Schizosaccharomyces pombe: one gene and its partners. The protein of the gene in region 2 interacts with the protein of the main gene of each other region in a biochemical or structural test. Each region holds a gene or a part of one and is shown on either strand. Other genes may lie near its edges.

What was found.
Region 1: the proteins of rad51 (region 2) and rad24 form a complex in vitro, tested with the Schizosaccharomyces pombe proteins (one study listed by BioGRID).
Region 3: the proteins of rad51 (region 2) and sfr1 form a complex in vitro, tested with the Schizosaccharomyces pombe proteins (5 studies listed by BioGRID).

The regions. Positions count from the first base shown.
Region 1 is NC_003424.3:3,380,195-3,386,185, forward strand, and holds rad24 (14-3-3 protein Rad24), read left to right. Parts: upstream 1-4,032; 5' UTR 4,033-4,073; coding exon 4,074-4,143; exon of another isoform or gene 4,144-4,342; intron 4,343-4,550; coding exon 4,551-5,293; 3' UTR 5,294-5,491; downstream 5,492-5,991. Other genes in the region: SPOM_SPAC8E11.04C (palmitoyl-(protein) hydrolase), read left to right, coding at 562-634, 706-790, 902-949, 1,005-1,150, 1,265-1,587; RecA family ATPase Dmc1, read left to right, coding at 2,138-2,210, 2,285-3,210; inv2 (beta-fructofuranosidase), read left to right, coding at 5,853-5,991. UniProt on the Schizosaccharomyces pombe protein: Acts in cell cycle and stress checkpoint signaling by sequestering signal transducers regulated by the checkpoints. Required for the DNA damage checkpoint that ensures that DNA damage is repaired before mitosis is attempted.
Region 2 is NC_003424.3:2,697,610-2,704,298, forward strand, and holds rad51 (RecA family recombinase Rad51/Rhp51), read right to left. Parts: upstream 2,661-6,689; 5' UTR 2,496-2,660; coding exon 1,398-2,495; 3' UTR 501-1,397; downstream 1-500. Other genes in the region: SPOM_SPAC644.13C (Rab GTPase-binding protein), read right to left, coding at 1-486; rpp101 (ribosomal protein P1), read left to right, coding at 2,844-2,912, 3,049-3,309; rna15 (RNA-binding protein), read left to right, coding at 4,020-4,044, 4,085-5,328; mrpl9 (mitochondrial 54S ribosomal protein uL3m), read right to left, coding at 5,388-6,167. UniProt on the Schizosaccharomyces pombe protein: Required both for recombination and for the repair of DNA damage caused by X-rays. Binds to single and double-stranded DNA, in the presence of magnesium, and exhibits DNA-dependent ATPase activity.
Region 3 is NC_003423.3:1,576,797-1,582,380, forward strand, and holds sfr1 (DNA recombination mediator Sfr1), read left to right. Parts: upstream 1-3,659; 5' UTR 3,660-3,891; coding exon 3,892-4,791; 3' UTR 4,792-5,084; downstream 5,085-5,584. Other genes in the region: ppi1 (cyclophilin family peptidyl-prolyl cis-trans isomerase Cyp2), read left to right, coding at 1-21; Prp19 complex subunit Cwf7, read right to left, coding at 611-1,140, 1,180-1,213; SPOM_SPBC28F2.05C (xylose and arabinose reductase), read right to left, coding at 1,379-2,209; ERMES complex subunit, membrane tether and lipid transfer protein Mdm12, read right to left, coding at 2,331-3,152; hrd3 (HRD ubiquitin ligase complex subunit), read right to left, coding at 5,307-5,584. UniProt on the Schizosaccharomyces pombe protein: Involved in DNA recombination repair and meiotic chromosome segregation.

The sequences.
Region 1 (5,991 bases), 680 kb from region 2:
TAGGAATATGAATACGCGATTGATATTGAGTAATGTTCTGGCACAAGCGTTTTCAGCTGACAGATTTAAGCAGTCTGTTTTATAACTATTCTCAAGTAATACTTTCCCATTGAAAATAAAAAGTTATTTTTGTAATGTGGTTGGATTGTATAGTACGACTCTGCGGTTGAAGAAATGCAGAAAGCATCTTTGGCTAGCAATATAAATAACAAAAAAAAAAAAAAATTAGTCAAGCTAATTTTGTGTTTTATAAACAAAAAAAAAAAACCTTTGGAACAAAATTCTTAGTATACAAATTGCGATAACGTATTGTAATAGCCAGCACTCAATTTGGATTCTTAGTTTCAAGATATACATATATCGCTTGGATTAACGCTAACACCATTTTTTACGATTATTTTTCGCCTGCAAAAGAAAAAATCATAAGGGAAATATTATATATTTACACCATACCTTCGCTTTTGATTCAATTAGCTTTGATACAAATACCTGTCTTATAAAACTGGTGTTTGCCCTATTGCAACACCTCCATTCCCTTAGTACTTTTTAAAACGTTTCATTATGACTGCCAAACTCAATTCAGTAATAATTAATCCCAGCGTGGCGCATACGGCCACTGTGATTTTCCTTCATGGTATGAACGATGATAATGTTGAGACAAACATATCGTATATTTTCTTCATAATAGTAACACATTTATCTTAGGTTTAGGAGATAGTGGACAAGGATGGTCTTTTATGGCAAATACGTGGTCGAATTTTAAGCATATTAAGTGGATCTTTCCCAATGCGTAAGTAAAAGAATGTATTTAATCATGCAATTGTCTAAAGTAATGTGTGATGAATGAATGAGAATTCGCATTACATACTTTGTATTTTGATGCTAATTATTTTGTATATAGTCCATCTATCCCTGTTACCGTCAACAATGGCATGAAAATGCCAGCATGGTAAGTAATTGTTCTGCTTGATGATAAAGTACAATGTTCGCTAAAACTTTTTTAGGTATGATATCTACAGTTTTGCGGATATGAAGAGGGAGGACGAGAATGGGATACTACGTTCAGCAGGCCAATTGCATGAATTGATTGATGCAGAACTTGCTTTGGGGATTCCTAGTGATCGCATATTAATTGGCGGATTTTCACAAGGTATGAGCTGCCATGAAAGCGGTTAACTCGCTAGTCATTGCATTTTCAAAAAAAAAGTGAAATGGTTTTCACTTTTCAAAAGTATATTGCTTACTAACTCGTCATTTTCTCTAGGTTGTATGGTTTCCCTTTACGCTGGACTTACCTATCCCAAACGTTTAGCAGGAATTATGGGGCATTCAGGGTTCTTACCTTTGGCTTCAAAATTTCCATCCGCTCTCTCTCGAGTTGCTAAAGAGATACCCATTCTTTTGACTTATATGACCGAAGATCCTATTGTTCCCTCTGTCTTGTCGAGTGCTTCAGCTAAATACCTCATCAACAATCTACAGTTAAAATGTCTCGATCGACCTTTTGAGGGAGACGCCCACTCTCTCTCTTCAGAATCGTTTATGGCTATGTATAAATTTACTCAGACAGTTATTGGTTCACCATAAGTATTGTGTTTTTGGTGTTGAGACTTTGCAAATGAAGGAAATTGACGAGTCTTTTGCACTTTTAGAGTTACTCATAAAATTAAATAAGATTTACCGTGATTAACTTTTCCCTTTTTTAGAAAGCAGTTTCATACTAGTAACTTAAGACTATGAATTGTCATCCCATTTGGTAGGTTCTCTCCAACAGTTTTACTCATTTATGGCATTTTAAGGATTGAAGCATTTTGTTTTGAGTATAGATACTATGGAGTTTAGTTTTCATTTTTAGTAGCAATATTTCGCGACGCGTTCATTGTTTACATGTAGCTGCATCAAGTATAATACATGATTATGAGTGCATATACTCTATAGTTGAACTTGTAAAGTAATTAAACTAAAGAAACAAATAGATCTACTGTTTTTTTGTTGTGATTTAGAGAGGTAATTTTGGGAATTTCCGCAATATATATATCGTGGATAACTACAGCAATTCTTCTTTCTACATAGTACGAACAACAACCAAAAACCGTGTAATTTGATTAATACACGTTCAATATAAAAATAAAGTGCAATGGAAGAATTCGCAGAGGGGAATGATGATGAACAAATGATATTTAGTGACATTGAAGACCTAACTGCTCACGGTAAGCTTGAATGAGTATACGGCAGTTATAAGACTCCCAGTATTTGCTTTAAATATCTACTAACATAATCAAAGGGATTGGTATGACCGATATCATAAAATTGAAGCAAGCAGGCGTTTGTACGGTGCAAGGAGTCCATATGTCCACAAAGAGATTTCTCCTTAAAATCAAAGGTTTCAGCGAAGCCAAAGTGGATAAACTGAAGGAAGCGGCATCAAAAATGTGCCCAGCAAACTTTTCCACTGCGATGGAAATCAGTCAAAATCGTAAAAAAGTATGGAGTATTTCGACAGGATCCGAGGCACTCAATGGCATCCTTGGAGGGGGAATTCAGTCGATGAGTATTACAGAAGTATTTGGAGAGTTTCGTTGTGGTAAAACACAAATGTCGCATACATTGTGTGTCACTGCCCAGCTTCCTCGAGATATGGGCGGGGCCGAAGGAAAAGTAGCATTCATAGATACAGAAGGAACATTTCGACCTGATCGAATCAAAGCCATTGCAGAACGATTTGGTGTAGACGCCGATCAGGCTATGGAGAATATCATTGTCAGTAGAGCATACAACTCTGAGCAACAAATGGAATACATCACAAAATTAGGAACCATTTTTGCTGAAGATGGCCAATACCGTTTGTTAATTGTCGATTCCATCATGGCACTATTTCGGGTTGACTATTCGGGTCGCGGGGAATTATCAGAAAGGCAACAAAAATTAAACATTATGCTTGCTAGATTAAATCATATTTCTGAAGAGTTTAACGTAGCGGTCTTTGTCACAAATCAGGTTCAAGCAGACCCCGGAGCAGCAATGATGTTTGCGTCCAACGATCGAAAACCTGTAGGAGGCCATGTCATGGCTCACGCAAGCGCGACCCGTCTGCTGTTAAGAAAAGGTCGAGGTGAGGAACGTGTCGCAAAATTGAATGATTCTCCAGATATGCCTGAAGCCGAGTGCAGTTATGTGATTACACCTGGTGGCATAGCAGACGTTTCCTAATTGATTTTCTACCTATTCCAAAAAAAAAACAAAAAAAGAAGAGAAATAAGAAAAAAGATCAGCCAAGTTCAGCAATGCCTTTTATCATTGCGTTTGTGCTTATGTTTTAACAAAATTGAGTGCACTGATTACGTTAATGTTAACATTTTACTGCTGCAATACTATATCTTTAATACAATAATCAGTTCACTATTGGTCTCTAAAATGGCTTTAAAGAAAAAGTTTGGATGAGAAGCTCGCGCCATTTTAGATAACCAAACCAAGATTTTCTTAACTACACATTTATCAAATAGTTGCGAATGGCGCAAACCCCCAAAAGCAACTTATTCTTACGAGTCAACAAATTTGTTTAAGTAGTGTCATGTGAAGTTGCTATCGCATGTATCAATTAACAAAAGCTGAGCGCCTTTCATTGCAATCGTTGGACAATCTGACTTCCACCAAACAATTATATCGTGTGAGACAGAATTCGTCATCACCTTTGTTCCAGTTTATTTCCCGATTCTATGAAGGCCTGCAGATTTGCACGTGTTCAGGCACCTTCCTTTCGATGTTTACCTTTTGCGTCAATATGACAAAAGGGGTACAGTTTCTCTTGATCCGTTGCCAAGGATGTGTTTACCCCGGGGCTTTGTCGCAACAAACGAGAACAGTCCAGCAGCCAGGTTTTTCGATAACCTTCTGTCGTGCCGATAAATTACGATGCGCAGTCGCTAAATTCGACATACAGAAGCACAGGGCACGTTTACGCAGTGCTACGAAATTTTACTGTGGGAGCAGTCCTTTTTCTACCATACGACGTTCCGCAACCTTTCCAGTGCCAACCACCACGATATACTCACATTTTCGAACGTTTGGTAAAAATGTCTACTACTTCTCGTGAAGATGCTGTTTATTTAGCCAAACTTGCTGAGCAAGCCGAGCGCTATGAAGGTATGTGCTTTTATAAGGTTTAGAGACGCGTAGAGCAGAGATATATTTGGTGTTATTTCTGCAAGAACAAAATTACACACATCCAAGGTTCTATCGGCGGAAGCTTTTGAGTAAGCGGGCTTCCTGTAAAACATCGATTGCATTTATTTTTGACATAGTTGTGATCAGAGGCTTAGTTGGTAGAATGTTTGTGTTTGTGTGTTGTATGGTGGTTGTCAAATGAACTGTGCATTGGCTATGGTGATGTTGAAAAGGTGTTTTAGTATTTCAACTTGTTTCCTAACTTTATTTCTAATTGTTTTTACTCCGAGAAGAAATTTTTTTGTTCATACAGACATACGGAAAATACATCATGCTGCGCATCTCGAAAGTCGAAATCCTTATGTACTTATCACTAATATATCCAGGCATGGTTGAAAACATGAAAAGCGTTGCCTCCACTGATCAAGAATTGACCGTCGAAGAGCGTAACTTGCTCTCTGTTGCTTATAAGAATGTAATTGGAGCTCGCCGGGCGTCTTGGCGTATCGTTTCCTCCATCGAGCAAAAGGAGGAGAGCAAAGGCAATACTGCTCAAGTTGAATTAATTAAGGAATATCGTCAAAAGATTGAACAAGAACTTGACACTATTTGCCAAGATATCTTGACCGTTCTTGAGAAGCACCTTATCCCTAATGCTGCCTCTGCCGAATCCAAGGTTTTCTACTACAAGATGAAGGGTGACTACTATCGTTACCTTGCTGAGTTTGCCGTTGGTGAGAAGCGCCAACACTCCGCTGATCAATCTCTTGAAGGTTACAAGGCCGCTTCTGAAATTGCTACCGCCGAACTTGCACCTACTCATCCTATCCGCTTAGGTCTTGCTCTTAATTTCTCCGTTTTCTACTATGAGATCTTGAACTCCCCCGACCGTGCTTGCTACTTAGCCAAGCAAGCCTTTGATGAAGCTATCTCCGAGTTGGACAGCCTTTCCGAGGAATCCTACAAAGATTCTACTTTAATCATGCAATTGTTGCGTGACAACCTTACCTTATGGACTTCTGATGCTGAATACAGTGCCGCCGCTGCTGGTGGTAACACCGAGGGAGCTCAAGAAAACGCTCCTTCCAATGCTCCAGAAGGCGAAGCTGAGCCCAAGGCGGACGCATAGATAGCTCGTTGCTCATGATTGATGCCATACTTTCACTACTATGAACCAATTTTAAAAAATTTATTTGTCTAAGAGTTCTTTTTCGTTTAGATCTTGTGTACTACACGATGGAATAGTCTCATTACATTCTCGTATATTTTCTTCTAATTTTTTTTTCTTTTTGTCTTTCTTTAAATTTCTTTTTTTTTTACAGTCGTAGTATATGTGTGTATTTGGTAGCTGCTGTAAAAAATACAGTAGTTGGACGACATTTTAATTTCGAGTACACAACCCGTAATGATTTGCTTGGCTAAGTGGGTGTTGAGTTAATCAAGCAATAGTCTAGATAGATGTGAGTTTCAAACTGAAGAGTTGGTAGATTGAGAATGTTTAAGCCTATCGGATTGAATTTGAGCTTTTTGACTGATTTGCACCGAATTGCTTAATATTCCTTGCATACGACCGATGTACCACTTTTTACACAAAGCTTAAAAATTTGTATGTTCTAGTGATACTCAAACATTATTAAATATAAAAGCTTTAAGTTTGCATATAAAACGCACAGTAAACATTTGAATCGATGCCTGTGAGACCATGCATACATTTCACGCCTCCAGAAGGATTTATGAATGATCCCAATGGTCTGGTTTACAGTAATGGAAAATGGCATTTGTTTTTTCAATGGAATCCAACAGGAAACCAAGCCGGTAATCAACATT
Region 2 (6,689 bases):
CATTAAAGGGAAAGAGGAGTACCCCAATATACACATAGATTGAAAAATGCTAATGTTGGCCCCTAGTAATTTTATATTTAAAGAACAAACCGCTTCCCCAAACCATATGAGCGCGACAACGACTGTAAAAACAGATTCTCGTTCAATCTTGTCAGTAGACAAGGCAAGTGCTAAAGCAATTACGAGGGAAAAAATCAAAGGACCCCACAAGTCCCAGTCGCGTAGTACTTGAGCATTTTTGGGATACAAAACATAGACGAGTTTTTCACCAATAGCTCTAAATTCATTAAATAATGTAACACGAATGGGTTCGTCCAGAGAATCTCCTCCAGTGAATCTTGTTTCAACAATTGACTCTCCAGCAATGTTGTCCGGCTCTATCGCTCGAGACTCCACATCGAGGCTGGATCGAACAGGATCCATGCGAAGAAGATTTTCCATTTCATCCTGTTCTATTTCTGTGTTATGTTTTCCTATGTCTGTCATTTCTAAAATATAAGATGGTAATTGAGTATGGTTTTGGTTTGGTACTTCGCTGGTACATTTCTCTGTTAATTTTGTAGTAGCACACTACTATGCTGGTCCTCAAAACAGTAAGATACCACCACCATGAATCCTAAAGATACAATTAACTATCATTTCAGTGAATCTAATAAAAATTTAATTATGTTCCTAAAACTTACAATATATCCTCTTAAGAATTGATTTTTGATAAAAGTGTGCTAATAAATACATAAAGAAGAAAAAGAATATTGTATTAAGTAAAGCAACCGAAATCCCAGAAGTTCAATGAAGCTTGAACATGAAGTCCTACTTTAGTCAATGCAAATATTCAAAATAATAGTAAAAATTTCAAGAATTTAGCATTTTGCGTGCGTTTTAATGCAAGTGGATCCTTAGGCTTCTTTAGTATAAAAAAGAAAGAAAAAGAAAGAAATTCTTCTTACTTTAATACCATAGCAAACTTTTTATATTTAATTTTTTATTTGAATTTGTAACAAGACAAGCATTTTTGGGTAGTAGAGATAAATATAATCATATAGGTCTTTAAATGTAAAAAAGAACGAAAACTTCTATGAAAAACTTTTAGCGAATATTAATTTAAGTGAAACATTTTGTTCACCAATGTAACCCAATCACCCAAACATAATTAATGGCAATTACAAAAACCTGATAGTTTAATGCGAATAAACGTAATGAAGATTTAGCAGAGAGTTAATAAGTGTGATCAAATGGTTTTTGCTCTTTTTTAAGAGCATACTTGAAAGAAAAATATGAGATACAGAGTAAATCGTAAGGAAATTATCAAAAAAGCATCACATACATATCTATCCTTACAAACTCATCCCATAGAATTTGCAAAATAATAAATAAAAATGAAACGATACTAAAATAATTTAGACAGGTGCGATAATTTCCTTGGGATCACCAACACCATCAGAATTAATGGCAAATATGGCTTCGCTCTCAGGCAAACACGGACTATCGTAAATTTTACAAATGCGTTGCTCACCACGACCTTTCCGCAAAGAAAGTCGAGTGGTACTCGAATGGGCAAGAATATTACCACCAATTGGTTTTTTGGGATCAGGATTAAAGGAAATGCCATCCACTTGGGCGACCACCTGATTAGTAATGACAACAGCAATACCGAATTCATCTGCCAAGCGCTGTAGCGTCCGCATAAACCTTGCTAAATGCATTTGACGAGCAGAGAGCTCTCCACGACCAGAGAAATCTGTTCTATACAAGGCAGTACAACTATCGACAACTAACAATGAAAATCGGGATTCAGACATCATGTTTGCCGCTTGTTGGAGCAACTCTAGTTGATGGTCTGCATTGTAAGCACGAGCATATGCAACGTTATCCAAAACTTCCTCACCATTTAAGCCATATCGATCTGCAACAGCCAACAAACGAACAGGACGGAAAGTTCCTTCTGTATCGATATATAAGCATTTACCTTCACCACCACCCATATCGATAGGAAGCTGACAGGTTACCGCAAGTGTATGGCAGATTTGACTTTTACCGGTACGGAATTCACCAAATAATTCTGTAATGCTTCCAGTCTCAACGCCTCCTTGTAACAAAGTGTCTAGTTGTTTTGATCCAGTTGTAATCGTAATTAATTCACTTCTTCGAATATGGTACTCAGTGGCGGTGGTAAATCCCATAGGAACTAGTTTGCTTGCCTCGCCAAGTAACTTATCAGCCTTTGCTTCAGAAATTCCTTTAATCAAAAGTAGTTGTCGCTTAGGAGTATAAGCAATTGATTCCACCGTGTAGTATCCGGCTTCATGAATTTTTTTTATGTCGCTAGCAGTAATCCCATTGCCTTCCAACATTTGTAAGGGCATAGGACCGGCGGCGGCCTCATCTTCTTCATCTTGTACATTCACGTCGTATTCATAATTTGATTGTGCTTGTCCATTTTCATTATTATTCATATCTGCTGCACTAACTTGCATTTCCACCTCTGTATCTGCCATTATAACTTGTTAAGCACGAAATTATCACTATTCTGGAATTGAAAAGAGTTTTTTATATTATTAAAGAAAAGAAAGATTAGGTTTTTAAAAAATAAATCAAGGAAATAGTTTTGTTAGAGAAAGAATTGGTTTATGGCAAGAATTTTCTTGCTTAGTAGGGATTGTGAAGGAATTAAAACGCGTCCGACGCGTTTTCAATCAATTGTTACCTAGTACTAGCAAGGTAACACCTACTAAATAGACACACACATTAGGGTAGGGCTGTAAAAATAGTCACGAGATAGGGAACGAAACAAAACACAGTTTTTTAACACTTGCATTTACAACAAGAGAACAGCACTGGTCAAAATGTCTGCATCTGAACTTGCTACCAGTTATTCAGCTCTCATTTTGGCTGACGAGGGTATTGAAATCACCGTACGTTATATTTTACTAGAAAAGTTGTGAATGTACTTCTACCGATACTGGTAAAAGATCTTTTCCATAGCGTGTAGTCGTCTTATTCCTTCTTATTCGGTTTTTGTTAAATTAATTTATACTAATTGTTGCGTAGTCTGACAAGCTCTTGTCTTTAACCAAGGCTGCCAACGTCGATGTTGAACCCATTTGGGCTACCATTTTCGCTAAGGCTCTTGAGGGCAAGGACCTTAAGGAACTTTTATTAAACATTGGCTCTGGTGCTGGTGCTGCTCCTGTTGCTGGCGGTGCTGCTGCTCCCGCTGCCGCTGATGGCGAAGCTCCTGCTGAAGAGAAGGAGGAAGCCAAGGAAGAGGAGGAATCTGATGAAGATATGGGATTCGGTTTGTTTGACTAATTTCCCTAATCTGCTAGCATGAACTAGTTGATCCAACTCAAAAAATAACCATTTTTCTATATCTCACTTAATATCTTCTTGTGTTTTGAAATTAAAAATTTAGACCGAGTAATCTTTATGAAACCGCCTTTGATCTGCGCCAACTATTTGTATGGCCAATGTTGGTGATTTTCAGACATATGTGAAGTAATATTATCAGGTGTAAATTGATTCACAGTACGAACTGCATATTTTGATATTAAATTTTTCAAGTTAATCGGTAGGAGTGTTTTAGTACTAATATTTAATAATAAGCATTATAGCGCTATTTTGAAATTTTAATACATCTCGGCCTCGGAGTGTAGGAGTTTGTGGCCCTTTGTAATTAGGACCGTAGTTGGAAAATGAAGTGTAAGGTTTTTGGCTGATCTTTATACATTAAGCAGGTTTTTACAAGTTAGCGTTTGCAAAATGTAAGTATGAAAGGAGATATTATCATTTATTGTTCACAAATTTCTTGCTGAATGAATGAGTTCTTAGTTATTAGGCACTGTGTATGCGATGCTTTTATTAATTCTGGCTGAAGTATAAAATTATTTAGCTATCTCTTTAAAGTTGATATTACTTTTGGGATTGATTCCGAAAAATATTCGACACATCATTTGCCCATTTTTACTAACACCGTCCCAAGGAAGACGCGAGGGCTTCAGCTATCCTCTACCACATACAACATGAATCCATCATGTGTGGTTTATGGTAAGTTAAATTTTTGTTTAAAAGTAATTCTAATAAGTAGTGGGCAATATTCCTTATGAAATGGCTGAGGAACAGGTCATTGACATCTTTAAGCAAAGTGGACCTGTGAAATCCTTTCAGTTGGTCATTGACCCTGAATCAGGGCAACCAAAGGGATATGGGTTTTGTGAATATCACGATCCTGCTACTGCAGCGTCTGCAGTTCGAAACCTTAACAACTACGATGCTGGAACACGTAGATTGCGTGTAGATTTCCCAACCGCTGATCAAATACGAAGGCTTGATAAATTATTAGGTCCTTCAAGATATGGATATTATCCTCAATCTTATGCCAATCAATCTTACACATATGGAAATAACTTCGGTTCGTATCCTCCAACCCAACCTTCTACTCAACCTCTGCCTCAGTCTTATGGATATCCTTCATATCCCCCTGCTGGCTATCGTGGTGGCTCTGCGAGGCCATCCGGCGTTTTAGCAAATGATGAAGTCTATCGCGTGTTAGCACAACTTGCACCTAACGAAATTGATTATATGTTATCTGCTATCAAAGCTCTTTGTTTGGAAGCACCGGAGCAAGCAGCTCAACTTTTTGAGACAAATCCCCAATTGAGTTATGCTGTTTTTCAAGCTATGCTTATGAAAAGATACACCTCTGAATCCGTAGTGGCAGACTTGCTGATTCCGGCCGGTGTTAATTTACCAGGTGCGCAAGAACCTAATAGAGGTTACTTTTCACCCATGCATACGTATAGCTCTGCAGTTCCTGGACCTATTAGTGTGCCGTCTGCTCCATATGGACGGGCTTCCTCAACAATCGCCGAAGTTTCACCAATGTATGGTTCGCACGCCGCACCATATGCTTCGACTCCATCTGCAGCCGTTGGATCGTCGCGGGGTTCAACCCCTGCTTCTGCCACTGTACCAATTTCTCCCGCTCGAGGTTTTCCTACTACCTCAGCTTATAATCCCGCTCCCCCTGCCTATGGAATGGCAAATCCAGCTTATGGTTCAACAGGCATCAGGTCAAGCAGTATTCCCTCATCTGGTTCCATACGAAGCCCATCCCTAACTACAACTTCTGCACAAGCTACTACAAATGCTACCAACAACATAACTACTACAACTGCAGCACAAGATGAAAATGCAACCAAGGCTGCATTAATAGCTCAATTAATGGCACTGACAGATGATCAAATCAATGTTTTGCCTCCTGACCAAAAAGAGCGAATCCTTCAAATTCGACAAGCATTGCCTAGTAGTTACAAAACGGAGAGTAAATAGACTAATGTATTATGTTTCGTTAAATATTAAATGAGATAGAAAAAAAAAGTATTTTTTTTTTAATTGGTTGCACTTGTACTTCTGTTTATTGTGTCTGTCACGTAAACCGCACTTTTGTTCGGACCAGGAATGGATCCTTTGACGAGAATACACTCGAGATCTGCATCTACCGCCCAAACCAATAAATTTTTCACTGTCCTACTCCTATGACCCATATGTCCTGCCATTTTCCTTCCTGGCAGCACACGGGATGGTGTAGTATTTTGACCTGTAGAACCTGGTGTACGGTGAGATAAAGATGCACCATGAGATGCATTTCCACCAGAAAATCCCCATCGCTTCATTACACCGGCAAATCCTTTTCCTTTTGTTATGCCTTTAACGTCGACATATTGCTTTGGCTTGAAATAATCAGTAGTGAAAATGGTTCCAGGTGATACCAATCCTGACGCATCACGAACTCGAAACTCCCGGACATGCATTTTTGGATAGATATTATGGGAAAAGAAATTCCCTTGCTCTGCTTTAGTAATAGATTTAGGCTTGCGGATTCCTGATCCAACTTGTACTGCATAATAACCATGTTTTTCTTTTGTACGCACATCAATTGCCTGCACTCTATCAAATTGTAGAATCGTTAAGGGAACCTGCATACCAGTTTTCTCATCCCAAGCATTAGTCATTCCTTTTTTGACAAGAATCACGCCTGGTCGCAATGGAATTTGCTTCCTCGCATGCGCTGCTTCCGGTAAATCATGCAAGATTTTTCGAGGGGTTAAATTTGCATGGTGTGCAAAGGTTCGAATGAGAGTCGGGGATATTAAGAACCGTGATTGCATCTCTTCAGCAGACTTTACAAAGCTTCAAGCAGGTTGAGTAGGAAACCTTGTTGACAACGATGTTCGGAGTATAGAAGCTCATCGTTATTTTGCTGAAAATTTATTTAGTGCATTGTAACGTATCTGATAGGAAGTTGAGGTGAATCAACTTCATAGTCTAAACATTTCTCAGATAGTATCTGTGTAAGATGAGAAGAGCAATTCAACTGCGTTTTAAGTCACGTCAATAATATGAGAAATACTAACTGACAATATTTAAAATTGTAAAATATAGCCCTTCTATATTGCTTATAGTAAGGTATTCCAAGAGTTTCAGTAGACATCGAACAATGAATGCATAACGGAGTAGGTAAAGCTACTTTTTTCTCTTTTTTTATTAAAAAAAAAATTACAACAGGTTTGAATATTCATCTTACTTTATACTCATTTGTGTGGTATATTGGACGGATAAAAGCGAATAATTACTATTTGTACAACCACAATACTTTCCCATCGCGATGTAATTTCTGTCAAGTATTTTAC
Region 3 (5,584 bases), on a different chromosome or scaffold from region 2:
GACAAGTGTGGTACCGTCTAAGCTTGTGCTTTTTTAACTTACTCGTTGATGCATTTATGAAAAAGAACTATTGGTTCCTAGATAGTCATAGTTCATCTAACGACAATTTTTCCTATAAAGTTTGCGATAAATTTTTGTAAAGTATTCGAAAATGTAAAGAGAAAAACTTTAAATTAAGAGAAATCATTCAGCTGTTAAACGTATAAGTAATAATAAGATTTCAGTAACAAGGAAGCTGCGACGAAGTGTTTATAGCTATTGATCACGATCCATAGCATATAATCAAGAAAGTACGTATTACTGAGGTTAGACAAAAAGTAACTTAGTTAAAAAATCGACGACTTGGTTGGCCCATAATAACGCGCATAGTAGTAATTGTATTAACATTTAACTGTTTACTAGGATACTCTTATCAAAAGTAATCCTAACCTTAAACGAAAACCGGGAGTCTTTTTGATGTGAGGCATGTTTAATTATTTACATAGAAGTCCATAGTGCTAAGGAAGCTTAAGTTAGTCACCCTGGATTATATCGAATTACCTTAACGCAAGAATGTAACTCTGATTATGATATTCATTAGGGATAATATTTACGTTCAATCAAATTGATATTATGACAAGAGAGTAGCAACACGGCACTGAATGCTGCTCTGCAGCAATTGTCCAAACTTTACTTCAGCTTCAGCAAGTCGGGCACCCACTTCCATTTGATAATGCTTCCTTTTACGATTACATCCTTGCGAAAGTTTTTTGGTGTTTACTAACTCTTTTTCTAATAATTCTAGCTGAACTTCTAAAGCCTCCAACGAACTATCAAATGCTTTTTCTCCATGCTTTTCTAGCAAATAAAGGTTATCATTGCGAGATTTTTGATATTCCCATACAACAGCGGACTGCAACAGGCTTTCACGGGTTCCCGGTGGTTTTAGCTGTATGTAGCGTTGAACGTCGATGGCTGCAAGTTTTTCTCCCTTTCCAGCCGCAACAATGGCATTTTCCAGTCGATCTGATAAACGATGGGATTGAAATTTCTTTTTCTGTTCCTCTTGTTTAATTAGTAAACCTCCAGATCTCTTTAGCTCCTCCTCAACAATTTGAGCAGCTGCTGATCTATCTTCTTCGTTATAAGTAGATTCAAAGTCTAAATAATTTGATTAGAAGACATAAAAAAAAAACTTACAAGGTAATGAATCCAAAGATATATTATAACTCATTTTATGCAATCCAGAAAAAATCCGCCCTCTCCATTAGACGTTCGTGGTTGGTATTTGGTTAGTGCTCAGCACTTTGGAGATACCACATATTTTACAAAGACATAATTTATGATAAGCTACATACAATGAGATATAAGTTTAACAAAAAATCATTTTTATAATGTTTCAAGGAAGTATAATAGGATTCCAAGTAGGTTTACTCACGAATTCTTCATCCCAAGTATCCATGACATCCATATCTGATGGGTCAAGCATGAATTGCTCAGCCTTCACGTTCTCATGGATATGAACAAACGACGAAGCTTTGAATATTGGTGAAACCCCTTTCTGAAGGCAATAACGAAGAAGAATATTCGCCGGTGTTTTATTGTACTTTAAGGATAAATCTAAGAGTCGAATATCACTAAGACGATATCCTCTTGTTAGCGGTGAAAAAGCCTGTACTAAAATACCGTGATTAAAACAGTAAGAAAGAAAAGTAGGCCTGTTATTGAATGCAGAAAATTCGACCTGATTAATAGCTGGAAGGGGCAACCCAAGACTGATAATTTCTTCCAAATGATGAATATTATAGTTGGAAACTCCAATTTTGTTTATCCTTCCTTCTTTTTGATGCTGCAATAGTGCTCGCCAAGACTCAATACGGCGTACGGGCCACTTTGGTGAATGTATTAGCACGACGTCTAACTTTGGACGACCTGTTCTGCGAAGAGACTGTTCGACCGCTTTCCAGGTACGTTCAAATCCTTGTAAGGAGTCAGGAATCTTAGTTATTAAGGTGATATCTTCACGTTTAATATTCACATTTTGATGGCAGAAATCTTGAATGGCTTGTTCACATTCTTTTTCATTTCGATATGTAATTGCTGAATCAATTACGCGAATACCAAGCGAGAGTGCCTCAATTACTTGCTGGTAGCAATCCTTAAGTTGATATACACCAAAGCAAAGTTGTTCCTTTTCAAAATTGGTTTGAGAAGGAGAAAATGGTTTCATTAACGTAAGTTGAGGTAGATGAGAGAGCTCAATGTATAGACAAAAATATTTTCTAAATCCCTAAACCTTTAAGTAGGAGATTAAAGGAAATTTTTTATATATTTAGGATAATTGTAAAGAATTATTCAATGGTTATATAGCTAGGCCAGACAAGTTCATCCTCAATAATACGTTTAACTTTTTCCGATACAAATTTCTCGACTTTAGCAACATTTTTTAGCAGCTGTTTATTAGATTCTCCAATAATACTTTCCACTGTTAAATCTCGAATAACACTTGATGCATGCTCTCCAGTTCCGTGCAGCAATGTATCAACGAAGCATAGATGCGTCCGCTTTCCCATTTTAGCCAAAACAGCAATGGCATCGATGGAAATCCTAATAAATGAAAGTTTGAATGGAAGAACTGCAAATTCAGAGTTCGGGTAATTCATCGATAGAACCGCTTCCAGGCTTAGATTTGCGTCTCCGTCATAAGATACGTGTGCAGTAACTTGGAAATCGTTAGAACGATCTCTTTCTTGATGATTATCCATTGGAGTACTTGGGCGACTTTCAGGAATTGGGCTTGTGAGTCCACTTGCAGATAGAATCCCGGGTGAATTAAATGCGGGATTAAAATATGCTAGTCTTGAAAATGGATGTTCAGCAGCGTAAGGTGGAAGATCCGTAAGCACTGGTGAAACATTATTGCGGGAGCATTGATCACCCTCTAGTTCTTGGTTAGCTAATTCGAAAGCTTCATTTTCATAAAATTGGGGATCAGGATCGCCGATTTCTTGAATAGTAATCTGAGGTGAGACTTTGCCGAAATGGAAGTCAACAACCTTTAAATGCTTTATATAAGATGGTAGCGACAAATTCGAAACTTGTCCTTCGAGAAGATGTAAAACTTTTGCTTCTAATTCTGAGTCTAACTTTGACCAATCAAAGTCAATAGACATTGTTCTGCAATTGTAAAAAAAAAATACGAACTCTTGAATCTCTCAATGACGATTGTAGCAAGTTTTCAAAATTTAAGTAATTTCTTCGTCAACTTGGTTAATGAAATAATATTTAAACCGGTTCTCTAAATTTTATACGAAGACGGCATGAATTTGATACTTTAAACAAAATCCTCCAGCAATTTTAATGTCCTTTCCTTCAATGTTCTTTTTTACTCATCGAGAATTGCAAGTGAATTTTTAAGATATCTATTTATCTTAAATATTACCTTCTGTAGGTACCAAAATCTTTTCTCCTAGTATTGTCAGTAGAGTTAGGTGGTATTCCCAGATTACCTTCTAACAAAGCCTACGCGGTTTAAAAAAGGTTAAAAAACAAATTTGTAAATTAATAAACCTTTTAGTTTATTACTATCGTAATTTGTATAAACATTTAATTTTTTGGAACCACCAGTCATGTGCTTCAGTCTTCTTCTACCTAAGTTCTTGTTGCTTGCTGTTATTTTCACCTTCTGCTAGTAAAACGTTTTCAACGTTTATCTGGAATTTGTGGTATTTCTTCATTTCTATAACAATTAATATTCAATTCATTTAATTATTTGAAGTTAGAGTTTAAACATTCAACTATTACACTCAACGCGTTTGTTGACAAAAGTTACGCGCTTCATTGCATCTTTGTTATAATTTAACATTCACTCTTTCATCTTCGAATTAGTACTTTAAAACGATTTAACTGAAAATGTCGCAAACAATTAACTCTGAACTCAATGAAAATGCTACTTCACAGTGTAAAGAAGATTTGAAAGTTTCCCTAAGCGAAAGTGATTTACGTGACTCACAGGGTCAGTTAGGAATAGAAAACCCTCCTAAATGCAATAACAGTGGCAATCACTCAGATAACCTAGGTTTTATCGAGCAGTCAGAAACAGTACATCCAGAGAATGAGAAGGCTTTGACGCCGGACCTGCGAGATACAAAAATACATACTTCTTTACCAATTACTACACCTTTTTCAAAGAAAAGGGCTCGAGAAGCCAAAAATATACTTCTTAAGCCGTTCAAAAGCCCCTTAAGACAAACTGCCAGTCCTCAAGTTGCAGACACTAATCTAAAACCATCGTTAGCTGTAACAAATCTTAACTCTGATGAAACAAACACTTCTTCAGAACCTGTTACTTCTCCCTTAAGAACAACGCCTAATTCAATAAAACGGCAAAAACGACTTTTCAAGTCACCTATCTCTAATTGCCTTAATCCAAAGTCCGACCCTGAAATCACACAGTTGCTTTCTCGTCGTTTAAAACTTGAAAAAGAAGTCAGAAATTTACAAGAGCAGCTCATAACCGCCGAAACTGCACGAAAGGTTGAAGCCAAAAATGAAGATAAAGACTTGCAAACGTTGATACAGAAATGGAAAAATGCTGCTCAGCAAGCCGCTGAAGTACTTTTTAAACCAATGGCTGAACGTATTCGTTTGGCTGGAGGTGTTACTCAGTCCTTTCGTATTGAAGAAGGTGAAAATAAAGGGCAAATTCAGGAAGTACGAACTGAATTTACAATGAGTATGTTTCTAAATCAGTTTGGTGTTCCTGTTCATTTGATGTCTTTTGATGAAGAAAATGGTGATTGGAAATCGTAAAGGACTCCTTACTATTGTTAAAAAAATTTTCGTTCGTACTAGTTAGAAAACCTTTAGTACGAACTTAAATATGTTTAGCTAGCTTACACCAAAATCAAGGGTATACTAATTGAACGTACAGAGGTACCTTAATCGTTTACATACAAATTGCGCCGAGCTGGTATCGAAATTCTTTACATGTAACAATGAATCGTTCCAGGCTGAGTTTATGACTTTAATTTATATAATTATTAGCATTATACAATAACATGTCTCATTAATTTGAAATTTCTTGATTTTGAACCTTCTGGTTCTAAATTTTTTCTGGAGATATTTAACATTCAAACAACAAAAGTCGATTAATTGGCTGACAGACAACAAATATAGATCAACCAATTGAAAGATGAAAAACAAAATTTATTCAAAGCATGATTTAATCACCGACGAACCCTAACATACATATATTTTTTATTCTGCATCCATCGAGCAACAAAATTTTAAATTAGAACGCAAAAAAATCGAAGATACAATTTTTATTAAGCGCGGTTTTGTCTACGGATGATTCGCTCACGTCGTTCTTGAAGTCGATGCTGTTGATGGCGTCTCATTAAAACCAGTCCGACAACTACCACAATAAGCGTGACACACGCAGTCTCCAAAAACCTTCCATCAATGTAATCATAAGTGAAACGAATATCATTATAGGATTCACCCATCTCTTCAGTATTAGGCGAGGGCAAGGACTCAGACGTTTCTTGAGGGTCAGGTTGTTGTGGTGTACGATCTACTTGTAGTGTTGGTGGTTCTGGGGGAA